Oreochromis niloticus: one gene and its partner. The protein of the gene in region 1 interacts with the protein of each later gene in a pairwise test. Links are inferred from orthologs where the notes say so. Each region holds a gene or a part of one and is shown on either strand. Other genes may lie near its edges.

Region 1 (8,345 bases):
ACCTCCAAATTCAGGTCAGCAGGTTAATTTTTTCCAATCACTCCTCTACAAAAACACTCCACAGTAATAAAGTGTTCGTTACCTTCTGTGCTTTGATAAAATCTCTTTCCAAAACCACATTCTTCTGACGGACGGCATTCAGCTCTGAAATGCACCAGGACGACATTTAATTATAGAAAGCACGCGTTTCCTCTTCAATAAAGTTTTACTGCTAACATGGGCCGATCAAATATTTATGCGATGAATAATTTCATGTACGTTAGTTGAAGTGGAGCCTGTACATTGACTGCATTTAAAGCCTGCTTGTATCCATGAATGTCAGGGTTGCGGGTAGATTCCCTCCTGTGTTTCCTCCTATATTTTGCATTTTCATAGACCATCTCATGTTCTGTTATTTTACTCTAGTGAAGGACCCTGCTTGCTTTCATGCTGTCTATGCTGTGATATGTACACACTTATCTGTGTGCAATTTATTCTGTGTGAATATGTACATTTTAAAAAGTGGGACAAATAAAAAATATCATTACTACTATTATTGGGCCATTGCACTTAAAATACTTCCTGCCTGAGCCTCTCCAAATCAGCTGTTTTATTTTTTAAATAATTATAATATATTTAACAAAGCAACGGAAATTTTTACCTTCATACCATGAATGAATGAATGAATAAATGATTTTGACCCAAAGGAATTGTGGCTAGAAAGAAGACCTTTTATATGCTGTAATTTTTTTTGTCCAGCCATGTAAATGTGTTTTTTAGCTCTAAAATTTTTCATGTGCTGGGAAAATAAGGCCAGAAATTTTTGACCCAAATCTCTGGGTTCTTGAGGGCCTGTTAGTCACGCCACTGATTCATTTTACACAGGACGGCTCTAAGTTAACTACACCAAAATCCTCCTCCGGCCTTACAGTGTTTCCAACTACACATGTTTATTTTATGACTTTTTAAAATCCAGCTAATCCCTGCCCTTTCAAACAAACAAAGATTCATCTATGCAGTCCTGTTTTCCTGGAATAATATGCAGACGGATCTGAAACGGCCGTAAACCGCCCCACAGTTAACAGTTCGCATCAGTCACTTGTAAAACCTGAGACAAAAGCTTCTTGGACAGTGTGTTTTCTCTAAAACTTGCAACAAAATGAGTTTGAAGCAGTTTTGACCTTGATCTTTTATTTTATATTTCATATAATCTCAATGTTGTGTTCTCTCTCATGCACTGTGTGACATTTGCACTTGTCCTCTAATGTCTCTTATAATGTCTGCTGCCCCGTTGGCAAGGTCACTCTTTTAACTTCAGTAAAACCTTCACCCGGACAAAAACTGCCCAGGTGAAGCAGGAAAACTGGTTTTAGGCTAAGGGTCTTCTAATCTGTGTGAATGTGTGTGTGAATGGGTGGATGACTGGATATGTAAAGCGCTTTGGGGTCCTTAGGGACCAGTAAAGCGCTATATAAATACAGGCCATTTACCATTTACCATAATCTGTGTTTTTAAAGATTCTGTTGCTTTAAAGAGCCTCTTGTGTGCTTGTGGTAATTTCAAGTGTTGATGAGATGAAACAGCAGGAACTAGAAGGACAAAGAGTGAAAGGTTTTACCTGCCGTGTTCTTCCTGAGATCATCAGACAGCTGGTAGTTCTGAGTCCGCAGCTCCAACAGCTGGGCCTGCACAAGCACGCGCACACACACACACACACGCACACACACACACACACACACACACACACCAGTATTAATTTATGACCAGCTTTACTTAGAAACTGCATGAACCATGTTGTGTTTTTGATTGGCCAGTAGGTATTTGCATCCCTTTTCAAAGGTCAACTGATGATGAGCTTATTTATCTTTTAACATGTAAATAAACTGATTACTGTGCTCCGCACTGTAACAAGCAGCAGCGTGGTGACCAGAGATCACTGAATGTCAGCAAGAGGCAAAATAACCGCTGGTTTATGCACAGGTGGTCCCACCCATCCTCAAAGAGTTAAAAACCTGGGACTCCATATCAGGTTTTAGAGCTGAAGATGCCCCTGAGATGAGAGATGAAATGTCTTCATGAACCAAGAAGTCGTCCAGCTGCCTTCAACTGAAACACTTAACACAAGCATAGTCGGATCCATCCCAGATATCCAGTTTCAAGAGGGCGACAAGAATACCCTGATCTTGAAGCTTTGTAGCAGGACTTCACAAACCAACGGGTGACATCACGGCAGCTACACCCACCCAAAATGCTGTTTATGCTCATTACAGAGCACTCTACTCTCTTGCCTAAATACACTCACTGCTGACACCAAAAAACACAACACTGGCCGTTCAAATGTAAAGTCCAAAACCAGCTGCTGACACTAGTGGCTACCTCCATCTTTTAGAAAGATCTTTCTTCCTAAATATTTCATAAACAGCATGATGTCCTGTAGGGACCCACCTTACTGGCCCAGAGGAGCCTTACAGCTGCATTTAAAGAGCCCTGCACACATGTTTATGTTTTAAGTACACCTTTCTATTCCTAACTGCATTTATTACAGAATAAAATAATGCGTTTACTACAGTATAATAGCTGTATTAACGGCTTTTTTGTGGTAAATATATTTGAACTCTTCCCTACTGCTGTTTACCATGTCAAGATTCCTGTTCTTACACTTTGTGTAACAACAGAGAACGACTCTATAAGTATATAGTCCTATTAAAGTGGTCAGGGAGGTCAGTGGTTAGTATGTTAACAGGTGTTTGAGCCTCCCGGCCCTGTCTCCGACACAGAGGAGCCCACGGGAGCCTGCCTCGGACCCCGTGACTCTCAGCAGGGCGAGAGTCCCTTGAATGCTAACATGTTAGCCCGCTGTCAGATAGAAATAACGGTTAGCATCAAAAATGCTACGCTGTGCTTTTCTTTACAGAGGGGGAGGCTAAGCTAGGCTAAGTGTTGAACTGAGCTCTCTCGTTGTGTCTGCTTCCTCCCCTTCTTAAGTGTATCGCCCGGAGGCATGTCAAAGCTCGGGCTGCCCGTTACCTTCCTGCCAACGTTAAATGAATAATGTCAGCCGAGCTAGCCGTTCTAACCGCTCCCACCTAGCAACGGCTCACGATTAGCAGACTGTGCTAACGCCCCTGGCAGTGATGCTGCACCGCACAGGTGTTTTTCACCACACTGACACCTACACGTGTGAGAGCCCAGCGACCCAAAAGAACAATCGCTGTAGTTTTTCTCACCTGCATCCGATGGAACTCCTCCTCGGACAGAGCCTGCGACATAGCCATGTTTACCTTCCCTGCTGCTGCGAGCTAGCAGGCTAAGCTAGCGGAGGAGGAGACGCAGCAGCTGACAGAGAGGAGGAGACAGGATGGAGGTTTCACTCTGACGCAGTTTCTGAGAACCGAGCAGCTGACAGAGAGGAGCCGCCATAACAGAGCGCTCACTCTGATGCTGTTTCCGAGAACTGAGGAGAAACCTCAATCACTACGAACTACATTTACTCAAGACCTGCGAATATTTCGAGGTCAGATTTTATATATAACAAAATATATTTATATTTCCATGTAAATATCATGAGAGATAACGAAATACGATCTTTGTTATAGATTATGTACTTTTGTTTAACAAGGCCAAATGAGTGGTGCCTTTACAAAATAATTCCAATAAATAAATTTAAAAACCTTTCACTCCCGCTTCTCACATGTGAGGACTTGCTGTTCTTTTCTTAAGGCTGTTGTTTGAATACTCAGCAAAACAAGCACTGCTAAGGTGTCATTTTAGGTTCTGGACAGCTGAAATCAATGTGCAATGGTGAGCCAGGGTCATTTTCATTACTGAATAAATGAATAAAGAAAATATCAGATCCAGAGTAATGGGAATTAGTTGTGTATGTGGCTCTGAGCCACTGGCTCATAATATATTCATGTTTAATTATGTTAATATGGATCAAAATTGTTGAGGAGTGTTCCCAGCACTCACTGAAGAAGGGAAAAGGTAGTCCAACCTTGTTCTTGTAAGGTGTCTGAGTGTATTTGGTGGCTTTTGCTACTATTGTTTTTAGGTGGGGCTGTAGCTCAGGAGGTAGCACAGGCCATAAAGGTTGGTGGTTTGAGCCCTGGCATACAAAACATCCTTGTTAGATAGAAAGCACTTAAGGACAGGAAAAGAAAAATGCTTATATGAGTGGGTGTGAATGAGGTGTGTTCAGGTAGAACAGAAAAGAGCTACACAAGATTGCCTCCAGTTTATGTGAGAGTGGTTATTCAACTTTTGAACTACATAAGTTAGATCTCTATCTAGTTACCTTTCTACGCCTGCTCGGCAAAAAGCAGAATTAATCACGTGTCCATCACAGTTCAGTGTTTTTAAACACGTGCCTATATCTTTCAGCTTCAGACAAGGCAGTGGTTTTAAATTCCACCTCTGTCAACACTTCTCTATCAAGAAAATCTATCTCTGCACACTGTCTGGTGAACACACAGGTGAAACAGGTTGCCTGACTGCATACATGGTATGCAGCCTGTGCCAGATTACTCACTAGCTGTGTGCTTCAGGAAGGAAATATATTTCTGTAACACACCAACGCTTTAAAATTCAGTGAAGTAACCAGTTGTAAAGTTTTTGTGATTTCTTTCAAACTGTGCACATACTTCCTTGTTCTCCAGTTCGGATAGAGAGAGAGCGAGAGAGAGGCTCAATTAGCTGGTGTTAAATTATTAACTGACAGACAGAGGCAGAACTGAGACACAGAGGGAAAGAGAGAACTAAGAGGTAGAGGTAGCGCGCGCGACAGAGAGAGAGAGAGAGAGAGAGAGAGAGAGAGAGGCTTATTTCAATTTCAGTTTTGGCTGATCAGCCTACAGCCAGGAGAGTAGAGTCAGTGAGGCGCACGAGCTCGGCTCAGGTGTTGGATGTTACTTGACTCGAGATGGAGCTGCTGCCCTCGCTGCTGTCCAGACTGAAGACAGTCGATCCCAGGACTGTGGATCAGGAGTACAGTGTGAGTGTTTGTTTTCATTCCTCAGTTTATGGAAAAGCCAGTTTGAGAGCTTTCACATCCTCGAGAATCTGGTCCAACGAAATAAAAGTGCAGTAATAATGCACTGTCAAGTTCAGATGACAATTGAGAACAGCTTGAGTAACTCTGAGGTTGAGCTTGAGGTTAGTTTTTCTCCTATACGTCACATTTTTACACAATGCACAAACTTCTGTATGTTGTGGACCTTTAACTTCGCTGCTTTTCATCTCTGTCAACGACTTCTTTTATGTGCTGCACTTTCCTGGAAATACCTGCCTCTGTTTTCAACTTTGACCCATCTAATCAAATGAGCTGCAGCCAATAATCAGATAAACTCAGTCACGTGAGGCTGGTGTGTGTAAAACATGCAAAGCTAAATAGGTTGAGTCTAACATGCACACCATATTAGGTTGTTTTCAGACTGAGGATACTCTTATTTTCATGAACGCCATCAGCACTGTACCCTGTTTTTAGTATTAAGCATTAACATTAATACATTAAGAGGGTCCTGAATTCTCTAAGAGCTCCAGCTTTTCCTCCACCTATTCAAAAACCTGCTTTATTAATCCTGCCTGTCTTCATTCAACACAAAGATTTGTGATTTCACTTCAGTTAAGTCTCAAAGACTTCAAACCGGATTTTGACAGGTTGTGCGGGTGTTCCTCAGGGGTCCAATCTCAGTCCATTTCTCTTCAAATTTTATTTTTAGAATAAACACCTGCAGTCCAGACCAGACAGAAACCAACTGTGCCATCAATTCTGCTTTTACAAACCTCACACGGGTCCAATAGTCCTCTTCATTGTCAGAAAGGTTATGACTCGGTCCGTCTTACGTCACACTCCTCTGTGTCACACTTTCAATTACACGGTACTCTTCAGCATGCCATTTAAAATGCAAAGGGTTAAGACGGTGAACATGCTTATCTGAACCCAAAATAAGACCTTTTTCTAATCTGAACCGAGTAACACTGGTGCCTTACCCTGACCAAACAGTAAGTGAAAACAAAAATGACGTTTCTTTTTAATTTTAGTATTTTATTAAGTTTATGTTTAGCCTCAGAGGTGAAACTCAGGCCAGTAAAATACTAAAAATAATTTCCAGTGGATCACAAAAGCCACAGCAACTGTGAGTTATCGGAACATGACAAAGAGACGAGACTCACTTCTGTAGGCGTTTCCAGGTTGACATCTTACCATGATCATACCAACAGACACACTTATGGTAACAGTACCAGCAAGGGTGTGATGGTCCAAACTCTCGTTTGATGTGCCAGATAGACACTGACAGAATATCGACTCATCCTCCTGAAAAAGCTGCAGGAACTAGATTTATATGCAGATGGCCAGTTTGCATATGATTGCAATCAGTCAAATTAGGTATTTTTCAGTGTCCTGGTCCTGCGTCTCTGACCCAGTATTCTGTGCTTGTTTTAGGCTTATTACTCATTTCTTTAGAATTAAGAGGTTTTCATGTTCTAGTTTTGTATTAGTTCTCTGTATGTGTCTCCAGCTTAACATTTCCTAGGGCCTTGTAGGTTTGTTATTGATCTTTCTAGTTCTTGGTTCTTGTTTTTTTTATGCAAGTTCCCTTTTGTTCCTTAATCTCTCCCAGTCTCGTCTGCGCCTTGTCATCGGCGTCTCCTGTGGAAGGCACTCCTGTTTCTGTGTTGTTACCCCCTCTCTCTCCCCGGTCATGTCCCCATGTCCGTCTGGTCTCCCAGAGTTCTGTCTCCATCGTTGTCTGGTTTCCCTGTTTGTTCCATCAAGTTTGTATAGCCTCTTTTCCATCACTACCTACTTGGATCAACTCGCCAGGGCGAGCTGGATTGACCAGTTTTCCATTACAATCGAGTGCCACGTAATGTGTGTGGTCATTGTCACAGTAATGCAGCCGAGGGTCCTGTGATTGAATTAGTATGGAACACGAACAGTACAACAAAGGTGGATGTCAAGGTGTGGATATACCTGCTGGTCAGTCTTTGGCTTTTCGTCAGACTCGGGGATCAAGGTGTTGTTTTTTGGGGGGGTTGTGGTAAATTCCCTCGTTTGTGGCTTTCAAAAATTTGAACTTGTCTTCCATCTGCATCTTCTAGGTCCACTTTGTGCTCTGTTCATGAATGAACCTGACCCCACTGCACAGTGTCCTTTATCCTGCTGTCTTTCCTAAGTGGCTGCTTGGATAAGAGACTCTTTAAAAACTTTGTGTAATGCCAGCTTCAAAGTCACATAAAATTTATGTCCAGAAACAAATCCAGCGTAATTATAAATTTAAATATCAGGTAACTGATCATTTTCTATTTTACTGTTGAATCAAACAAGGAAGCCTGCTTTTGCTAAAACAAACTGTTGACATTATCCAACCATCTATCATCTTATTTCTCTGTGAAAATCAAACTACATCCTTATTTTATAACATAAAACAAGAAGGAAATGCATTTTATTTGAGAGAACTGGCTAATTTATTTTACACCAGCAGGACGTACAATAACTCGGACTATAAATGCTTTAATGCTGTGGTCAGTCTGAAAGTCATGTATGTCGAGTGAGCACTGATCTTAAACTGCTCTAACTGTTTTACATTATTTAACATGTCAAAGCCAACCGTCCCGCTGTGGTGGAACAGCAGACGAGTGTCTGAAATATCAATGCTGAGAGATTTCCACCTTTGCTTTGTCTACAGCGCAGCGCGGTATTCGCTAATTAAGATGAGATGTTCTAGACTTCAAACTGATGCTGTCCTCTACTCTCAGGCTCAGTGATCAGAGGAACATCCAAACAATCCTCCCATATTCAGGACGGTGTTGTCCTCTAAACATGTGTTATTTATCGCCATATATTTAGGTACACATTACAACTCTTAGTCGAAACAATGATCATGGTGACATCGTGTAGCTGTTGCTGCTGAGCTGCAAGGAAACTGCAGCTTTCTGCTAATTTTCTTTAACTGTATTGAAACTTTTTTTAACGTTAGATTAATCAGTGTGAGGCGTATTTCATACTCCAATATTTAAAATGGTCACCCTGCTATTGTTTTCCTGTATCCTAATATCAGAGTACAATTCACACCTTTAGGTCCTTTTTTCTGCTACTTATTTAATCGGTGTGTGGCTGAGTCACATGGCCTGATTGGGCATTACATCCTGCGTGACTGGATCGAGTGAATAGTGATGTAAATTCACATGGTGCTGCTAAATTAATTATTTTGGGGCACGAAACGTATTTGTGTTCAGGGTAAGAAGCCTGTCACTTTGCTACTTCTGCTCTGCTCACATTTTTCTGAGATGAAATGAATTTAAACTCACAGTGAGGTTAGAAATGAGCAGAAACAACCTGCAGAGTTACTAAAAGCAGAGTTTAG
Region 2 (7,884 bases), on another chromosome or scaffold:
AACTCCACAGGCAGAATTCAGAGACAATACTAACACAGTACAGAGGGAACACAGAACAGGGACAGGAGGAACATGAGGGCAGAACTAAAACCTAAGAGCTAGAAATCACAACCCAGAAGGACAAGAAATCTAGAAAAGCAAAACAGAACCCAATAAACAATAATATAGAATCAAAACACTGGGCCACAGGCCCAGGACCGTGACACAATACTTGCTTTGAAGTAATCCCATGTGTGCATACAAGCAAGAATTATGAGAAATCCCAAGATGAAACTAAAACTAGAGGTGGGCAGTTCAATCAAAATATTGATGGTATTTATACTAATACTGGTGTTAGTATTGGCTCTATACTAGCTTGATAGGTTTGGTACTTTGCTTCTATCCGCTATGTTCAGCATGTAGCCCAGTGTGTTCAGTCAGTTGTAGGACTTTGAAGGGCTCAATAGGTTTACAGTAGCAAAAACCCTAGTGTAGTTCATCTGGTTCAGATCACTTATGTGGCCTGAATTGATTTCCTGTGCTACTAACAAAATTTAATTTAAAAAACCAAACAGGTTATGTTGCTTCCTATTGGCCTGCAGGGTGCAAGGCAGACTTTGCTTCCTGCTTCAGTGAAAACTTCTGCATACGTTGTGATCCAGGTAACTTCCTGTTCAGAGGCAAATGTTAACGTGCTTGTCCGAAGGGGCAGAAAACAATTCTGTGCGTATATAAAACAGGTCCACGGCTCCAAACAGTAGTAAAGGGACCTCTGGCTAATACTTTGGGTTCTGTGTCAGGCTCGAAGCCAAAAACTACCTTTACTTTGTTGTCTGGGTCAACTTTGCTATTGAGAGACAGAGAGAGGTGTTGAAAGGCTCCTCCGATAGAAGTTACTGTTTGATGAACACAGTGTACAGTCGAGTCTTAATAGCTTACTTACAACTGGGCTCATCAGGCACTCTTTTTGGCTGCAGTGGTTATTATTATATTTACATGCTTCCGTCTCCCGTATCTGGTCAGTGACAACTCGTACTTTCTTTAGGGCTATGCCTGTAACACTCTGCCTATTGCCTTCATATTAAATAATTTTTTGAATAATAATTTTTAAAAATATTTCTTCAAGTCATTATGCGGGCCCCAAGTAGAGTTGACATGGGCCGCGAGATTGAGACACAGGCATTAGAGCCTCTTAATGTGTGTTATGTTTGGGTTTCCACCGGTGTGGAATTAGCAAAAATAGAGAGGGCATAGCCTAACATACGAAACAGGAAAAGACCACTATGTAATCTATTTATTTCAACGAAATAACTGTATTCTGAATATCACCTTTTAAAACGATAACTGCAATGGAATACAGTTACTCATATTTTGTATTTTAAATACGTAATGCTGGTACATGTATTCCATCACTCCCCCAAACTGCCTCAGGCAAGTATGGGGCAAATCATACTTTCAGATTTGACAGCAGAATAATGATGAAAACTTTGCGTTTGTGCTTGTTAGCAGCTCAAAATGGCTGAGAAACACAAAAATGTTTAATGCATACAAAAGATACACCAGTGCTGTGGATTCCCTAAACACTTCAAGGTTCTCCACACACTGAGATAAGCCACAAAAGCAACACCAACCCCCAGCCCCCGTGGCTCTCCCTGGTAACAAAAGTGCCTCAAACATGACCCTAAGGATCTTCGATTATGCCAGTGGTTTTGATCCTAACGTTGCTGCTGATTGGTTTAGATTTACAGTTTGTTATTTTTTCATCCTGCGTCTCCATCTCATTCCTGTGCAATAATTTCACCGCTTTCCCACTGAAATGTTAACACAGATAATGAAGTTCAGAGAATTTGATTATATTTGCTATGTTATTTAGCAAATATAATCACCGGATGTAGCAACTGCATGAAAATGTAATAGAATTGCTGCCATTCTACCGCTGCAGGACATTTTCTGTGCCACTGATGAATTTTAAACTAATCCCTGGACATAATATTAAAACATGCACTTGTTGTATAGATGACATTTGACCTCACACAAAAGGAGAACCATGTTAATCCTTTTTGTAACATTTTTTTCCCAACATATTGTAACCCCTTAATGTCAAGTGTATTATATTTGAGACCTGATTTTTTTTAGGCTTCATCAATGTGATTTTTTTTTTTACCCTGGTAAACCTAAATAAAGACATTTTTAAGCCCAAAAAAGTTAGATGTAGCAAATATTATGCAAATTAAAAGGCATATATGCAAATTACTTTTTTAATATTTCTTTAAAAATGTTCAGTTTTCTAGAGTACGGGTTGCACCAAGCAAAACACACAGTAACTACAATGTCTAATTAAAAGTGGAAATTCTATACCTGAGCTGGACAAATCTATTTTTTTCAAGGTTTATTATTTGTTTTTCTTAAAACAAATAATAAACCAAACCAAAACTATGTACAGGTTTAATGAAGCCCTCTTTTACTGTGAAACACTCCTTTTATGTGCATGGTGTGCAGCCACACCAGATCTGCCTCATTTGCACATCTATGCAGAACATTTAAAAAGGAAATACATTGATGAACTTTCATAGTGCTATCACTTAGTTTGTTTTTCTTTACCCTTTCCAGCTTTTGTTTGTTTGTTTATTTACTATTAAATAATCTGTTATTTATGCTGTAAGGGCTGATTTATAGAACATTTCTATGCCAAAATGGTGGAAAAGTGATTCATTTCTTATGGTATCTTGTAATTGTTTGTTTGCTTGCTTGCTTGCTCCTTTAATGGAAATGTATGCACATTTGTGCGTTTTTACACAGAAGATACCTCATTTGTAGAGGTACAAAAAAAAAAGAAAAGAAAAGAAAATTTGTTAAAATAAAAGAACAAACAAACAGAAAAACTGTAATACAAAATACAAACAAACAAAACAGTTTTTTTTGTGACAGTTGAACACACCCATCAGGACATAATTTTCTACACACATTTACAAATGTATGTATTATATCTTCTTGCTGCTGTTTCCTGTACTGTACATATTATTTTTATGTCAGTCTTTTCACTTACTTTAAAAAAAAAATCTTTAACTTCATTTTTTATTATGTTATTTTAATATTGTTGAATGTAAAAAAAATTCTCTACATCAAATTATAAGATCTCCAGCATGGGCATGTTACTTGTACTTTGGAATGTCTGTCTGACATAAGAAGAGTGTATTTTTTAGGGTTTCTTCACTTCTGTGTAACCCTCTCCCCCCCCATGACTACTATTTTTATTTATGTATAATAATGTAATGTAAGTAACACTTAGTGCACAAACTAGTCTGTGCATTCAGAGCAGTGGAGGGAAACCCTGCCCTTCGAAAGCTTTGAAGAGTCCTGACACTTGGTAAGGTAAGAAGGTTTAATTTATCAATAAATATTCTGTAAGACATTAAATATGTTAAATATCCTGCATTTGTCTGACATTGAAGCTTTGACTAATGGCTGTGAGAGGCTTTGGAAGTTTTTCCATGTTAAAAAAATTGCTCACATTAGATCTATTTTTTTCCTTTTCCTTTCCTAACACTTTGTTAAGCAGTCCAATGGTCAGGAACACTCTTGATGGACTTCATATGGTCTCTGTTTCTAGACTAGGTGAAACTGTAAATCATTTGAAACCCTCAGTTAGTTTTGTGGTCTAGTTTCTGCTTTTTTCTGCTTAACCATTTTGCTCGTAGTCTCAAGTAGAGCTTCCAAAGATTGATTTTTTTTTTGTATTGTTGCATTGTTAACTTACATTGTGTACTATGCTTGCAGGTGCAAAGCACCTTCAGATAATACACTTGCATTTATGTAATGCTTTTCTAGTCTTATTATTGATTCAAAACACTTTCAACTACACATTTATGCAGGACTTCTATAAACTTCAACTACCTTACATCCGTGATCTGTTTAGAATCACCAGTGCACGAACATACATGTCTTCAGACTAAGGGAAGAAGCTGGAGTACCCAAAGAAAACTGTGTGAACTCCACACAGCTAAGCCCAAACCAGGATTTAAGCCAACTGTGAGGCAACAGTGCCTCTTGAAGAGATTTGGGACAGGAGTGATGGGAACACATATAGTTTTACCTTTATTACCACTATCCCATTAATAATGCACACAGATATGACATTTTCCTTGATTTGACCTACACTGGTGGATTTAAAGCTAATTTCAGTCGGGACAGGTCAAATTTGATTGGAGCAGTCTCAGTGTACAGATATGTGTAGCACATAAATTTAAAAAAAATTCTTTTTTATGTTTTAGGGATCACCTTAGGAAACGTCATCCAATTTCAAAATAAAAGACTTAATATTTATTCATTTAGTCACATGTAAAAAGTGACCTAAATAGCATCCAAGTCTGTGTCAAAAGTCTCAAGCAGACACAGCTCCACCCTGCGGCTGCCTGAAGACTTTACAGTGATCCAACGGTTCTTCGGTTAGACGGCTTTTATTTTGAAACAAACCGCGTACGGGAAGTCGGAGGGAAAAATCAGCTGGACTCCGCGGAAATCACCAACAGGAGTATTTTCCTTTTATTTAGCTAGCTAACCATCTGTCAACTCCCATTTCTCCCTCCCTTCTTTGTTGCTGTCAAACCGCCACACTGGCGATGTCGGAGTCGTACGGTAAGAAAGCACTTTTGACCGGCGGCCACCGTTATCATCCTCCCGTAGCCTCAGAGATGGGATGGGGCAGGTGTGCCCAGAGAGCTTTTTCTCATCGTAAACAGATAGCTGACAGGCTAACCGAGCCGCCGCTGAAGGCTGCTGGCCTTAAAAGTTGCCTCGTCAGCGTAAGGAAACCCACAAAGGCTGTACAGCAGAGTTTAGTGTCGCCGTGTGCAAAAAATGTACCCCCGGCACAAGGTTACAAAGCTCCCCGGAGGGTATCGAAAAAGACAGGGGAAGCTGACACCTGGCTGGGGCTTGGTGCAGCTGTAATATCTGACTAAGCTGCAACATTACAGCCACATATGAGGCATTGTTTTCTTAGCTTGACCATTTCACACCAAAATAATGATTATTTTGCTAGTTTAGTGGTTTAATAGTGGATGAATTCCTCCGTTGCACAGAACAGCTGATTGTAGTTTTTGTTTGCCTACATCAAAGCCTCCAGAATATTTTTTTTTTTGGGGGGGGGGCTTAATTGTTTGTTTGTTTTTTATTAGGATAATACCTATATCAATATTTGAAAGCTATAACATCAAGCAAGAAAAGCCAGGCGCTGTTTGTTGTTAAACATCAGTTTATTATGGCCAAAGCATCACAGTATTGTGCAGCATATGCTTGAGCCTGACTGATAAATGGAGTTTGGGAGCCGGTGTGCACAGTTTGTCACACTTATATATCTGAAACCCATTTGGAACACCTGCCAAGAAAATTAAAGACAAAAATCAAATTTCTAGTTTAGTCTGTGCTGGACTGTGGTGATGTGGTGATATGATTTGTCTGCATCTTGATTTTGCATTGTACTTTATCGCAGGTGATTCTTTTCGGTCTTGTATGAAAAAATGTACTAGTCCTCTTAAGCTATAATAATACTACAGGAGTATATGGTGGTAAATAAGGGTGTTTGCAAGGCTACTGCAGAGATTACTGGATTTACTAGACTTCACAACAGTGACGGTAACTCTCACCACTCAAGTGGGGGAAAACTAAATTTAAATGAGCTATAAAATATATGAAGCTACAGTCTCTAATTTCTCTAGAATATTTTGAAAGGTCATGTTTACGGAACTTGAACCACACCCTCATTTGTTTATATTTTGCAAGGAAAATAAGAAATAGGTGCAGCACTTTCTTTGAAACATGCAAAAATATATGGAAATACAGAATATAAGGCAAAAACAGAGTTTGTAATGAGTGTGAAAGTCAGGATTTGGTATGATTTGGTATTCTTCAGCACAGCCTGAGCTCTGTTAGACAGTTTTTTGTAATTTCTTTAAGTAGCCTTCAGGAATAGTTCTCTGGGCTTCTAAAAGGACATTCAAAGCTCTTCTTTGGATTTTGACTGCCTTTATTTCTGATTTCTATCAGGATGATCCCAAACTGCCACTGATTTTCAGTCCAGTTCTTGTGTAATTTGGCATACCTCAACCTTTTCTCCCTGTTTCCTTTCCTTAAGAACAACTGAGTTTGTAGATGGATCAACTGAAGGATGAGTTTTATCTCTCAGGTCAAGTTATTACAGTTCACTAAAACTAAACTAAAAAATAAAACTGTGTTTTTTAAAGATGGACTAACTGAGGTGACATTGACTAATTAAACTAAACTAGTTTAGTTTGTTGTCACATGTAGCTTTATTAGGCCTTGGTACATTTGGTTATTGAGGCTTGGAATGACTGTGAGATGACTGTGAGCTAACTGCCTGTGTTTGTATTATAATATCTGTTCTGAACCTCTGAAAAGCACAACCCAGATTACAATAAATAAGAAAGTTGGTACTGAAGCTAAACACTAAAATGAAACGAGCAAACTCACTGTGGAAGTGAAACTAAATTGACAAGAAAAACGAGCTGGAAAATACCAAACTAAGACTACAGTAACTGAGCTTTTCCCACATTTTTGTTGTAATTTCCTGTCGTGTTAGCTAGCGTCTATATGAGCAACTAGTTTCATATAGTCTGATAATAATAGCCCAACTGATGTAATGTGTGTCTTTGCTTTTCCTTTGCAGATTTCCTGTTTAAATTCCTGGTGATTGGGAATGCTGGAACGGGGAAATCGTGTCTTCTGCACCAGTTCATAGAGAAGAGGTGTAAGTCTGAAAGACGCAGCACGCTCCTGACTGTTTACTGTAAATTACAGCACTACATTAGGGAATTTCTTCAGGCAAATTAGACAGTAAATATGCCAGTAATTTCCACATGTTAAAGATTCCTAGGATGGAAATCAAGTTTTCAACCTTTTAAGTCCATATTTAATGAGTGAAATAAGCTGTCAAATCCATGGATATGACTGCATTCTTAATCCATGGATTTAACTGTGTGCATTTATACTTGCATTCTGAGTTTTATAGGCAAAACTAAGAAATCCTGTTAACTTTGGGTTAAAGCTAAGCTTCTCAGAGCTGGCAAGCTGGAAAGGGGGTTGTGTTAGATAAGAAATGCATTTACATTTCTAATATTGTTGAGGATGATGCACTGTAATGACAAAACTATTTGCTCGTCCGCCTTCACACTCATATGAACTTGAGTCTCATCCCATTCTTAATCCATTGCGTTTAATATGTCAGCCCACCCTTTGCAGCTATAACAGCTCCAGATCTTCTGGGAAGTCTTTCCACAAGGTTTAGGTGTGTGTTCATGGGAATTTCTGATCACTCTTCCAGAAGTGCATTTGTGAAGTCAGACACTTATGTGGTTTGAGGAGGCTTGGCTTGCAGTCTCTGCTCTAATTCATCCTAAAGGTGCTGTGTCGGGTTGAGGTCAGGACTCTACAGGCCAGTCAAATGCTTCCATGCCAAACTCACTCATCTATGTATTTATGGACTTTACTGTGTAAGTAAACATACGCAGTCATGTTGGAGCAGGACGGGGCTATCCTTAAACTGTTTCCACAAAATAGGGATCATGAAATGGACCAAAGTGTCTTGATATGCTGAAGCATTAAGAGTTTGCAGTCAGACAAGTGCTGTTATCCTGGCAACCACCAAACTCAGACTTGTCCACTGCTCTAGTGTCCAGTGGCGGTGTGCCCTTTACACCACTGCAACCGACGCTTTAAGTTGTGTTTGGTGATGTGTCGCTTGAATGCAGCTGTGTGTCCATGAAGCGATCTATGCACTGTTCGTGAGCTGATCTAAAGGCCACATGTAGTTTGGAGGTCTGCAGTGATTGACAAAATTGACTTTTTTTTTTCTAGACACTGTGTGTCTGAGTTGTTGTTGTTTTTAAA

The links.
Region 2: the proteins of gripap1 (region 1) and rab4a interact in binary tests that used the Homo sapiens proteins (3 or more experiments, as listed by UniProt). The link is inferred for Oreochromis niloticus from reciprocal best matches to the Homo sapiens genes GRIPAP1 and RAB4A.

The regions. Positions count from the first base shown.
Region 1 is NC_031984.2:3,704,639-3,712,983, forward strand, and holds the start of gripap1 (GRIP1-associated protein 1), read right to left. Parts: upstream 3,360-8,345; 5' UTR 3,255-3,359; coding exon 3,207-3,254; intron 1,665-3,206; coding exon 1,598-1,664; intron 145-1,597; coding exon 83-144; intron 1-82. Other genes in the region: ptpn18 (tyrosine-protein phosphatase non-receptor type 18), read left to right, coding at 4,898-4,969. UniProt on the Homo sapiens protein: Regulates the endosomal recycling back to the neuronal plasma membrane, possibly by connecting early and late recycling endosomal domains and promoting segregation of recycling endosomes from early endosomal membranes.
Region 2 is NC_031965.2:25,563,864-25,571,747, forward strand, and holds the start of rab4a (ras-related protein Rab-4A), read left to right. Parts: upstream 1-4,442; 5' UTR 4,443-4,598; coding exon 4,599-4,614; intron 4,615-6,664; coding exon 6,665-6,745; intron 6,746-7,884. UniProt on the Homo sapiens protein: The small GTPases Rab are key regulators of intracellular membrane trafficking, from the formation of transport vesicles to their fusion with membranes.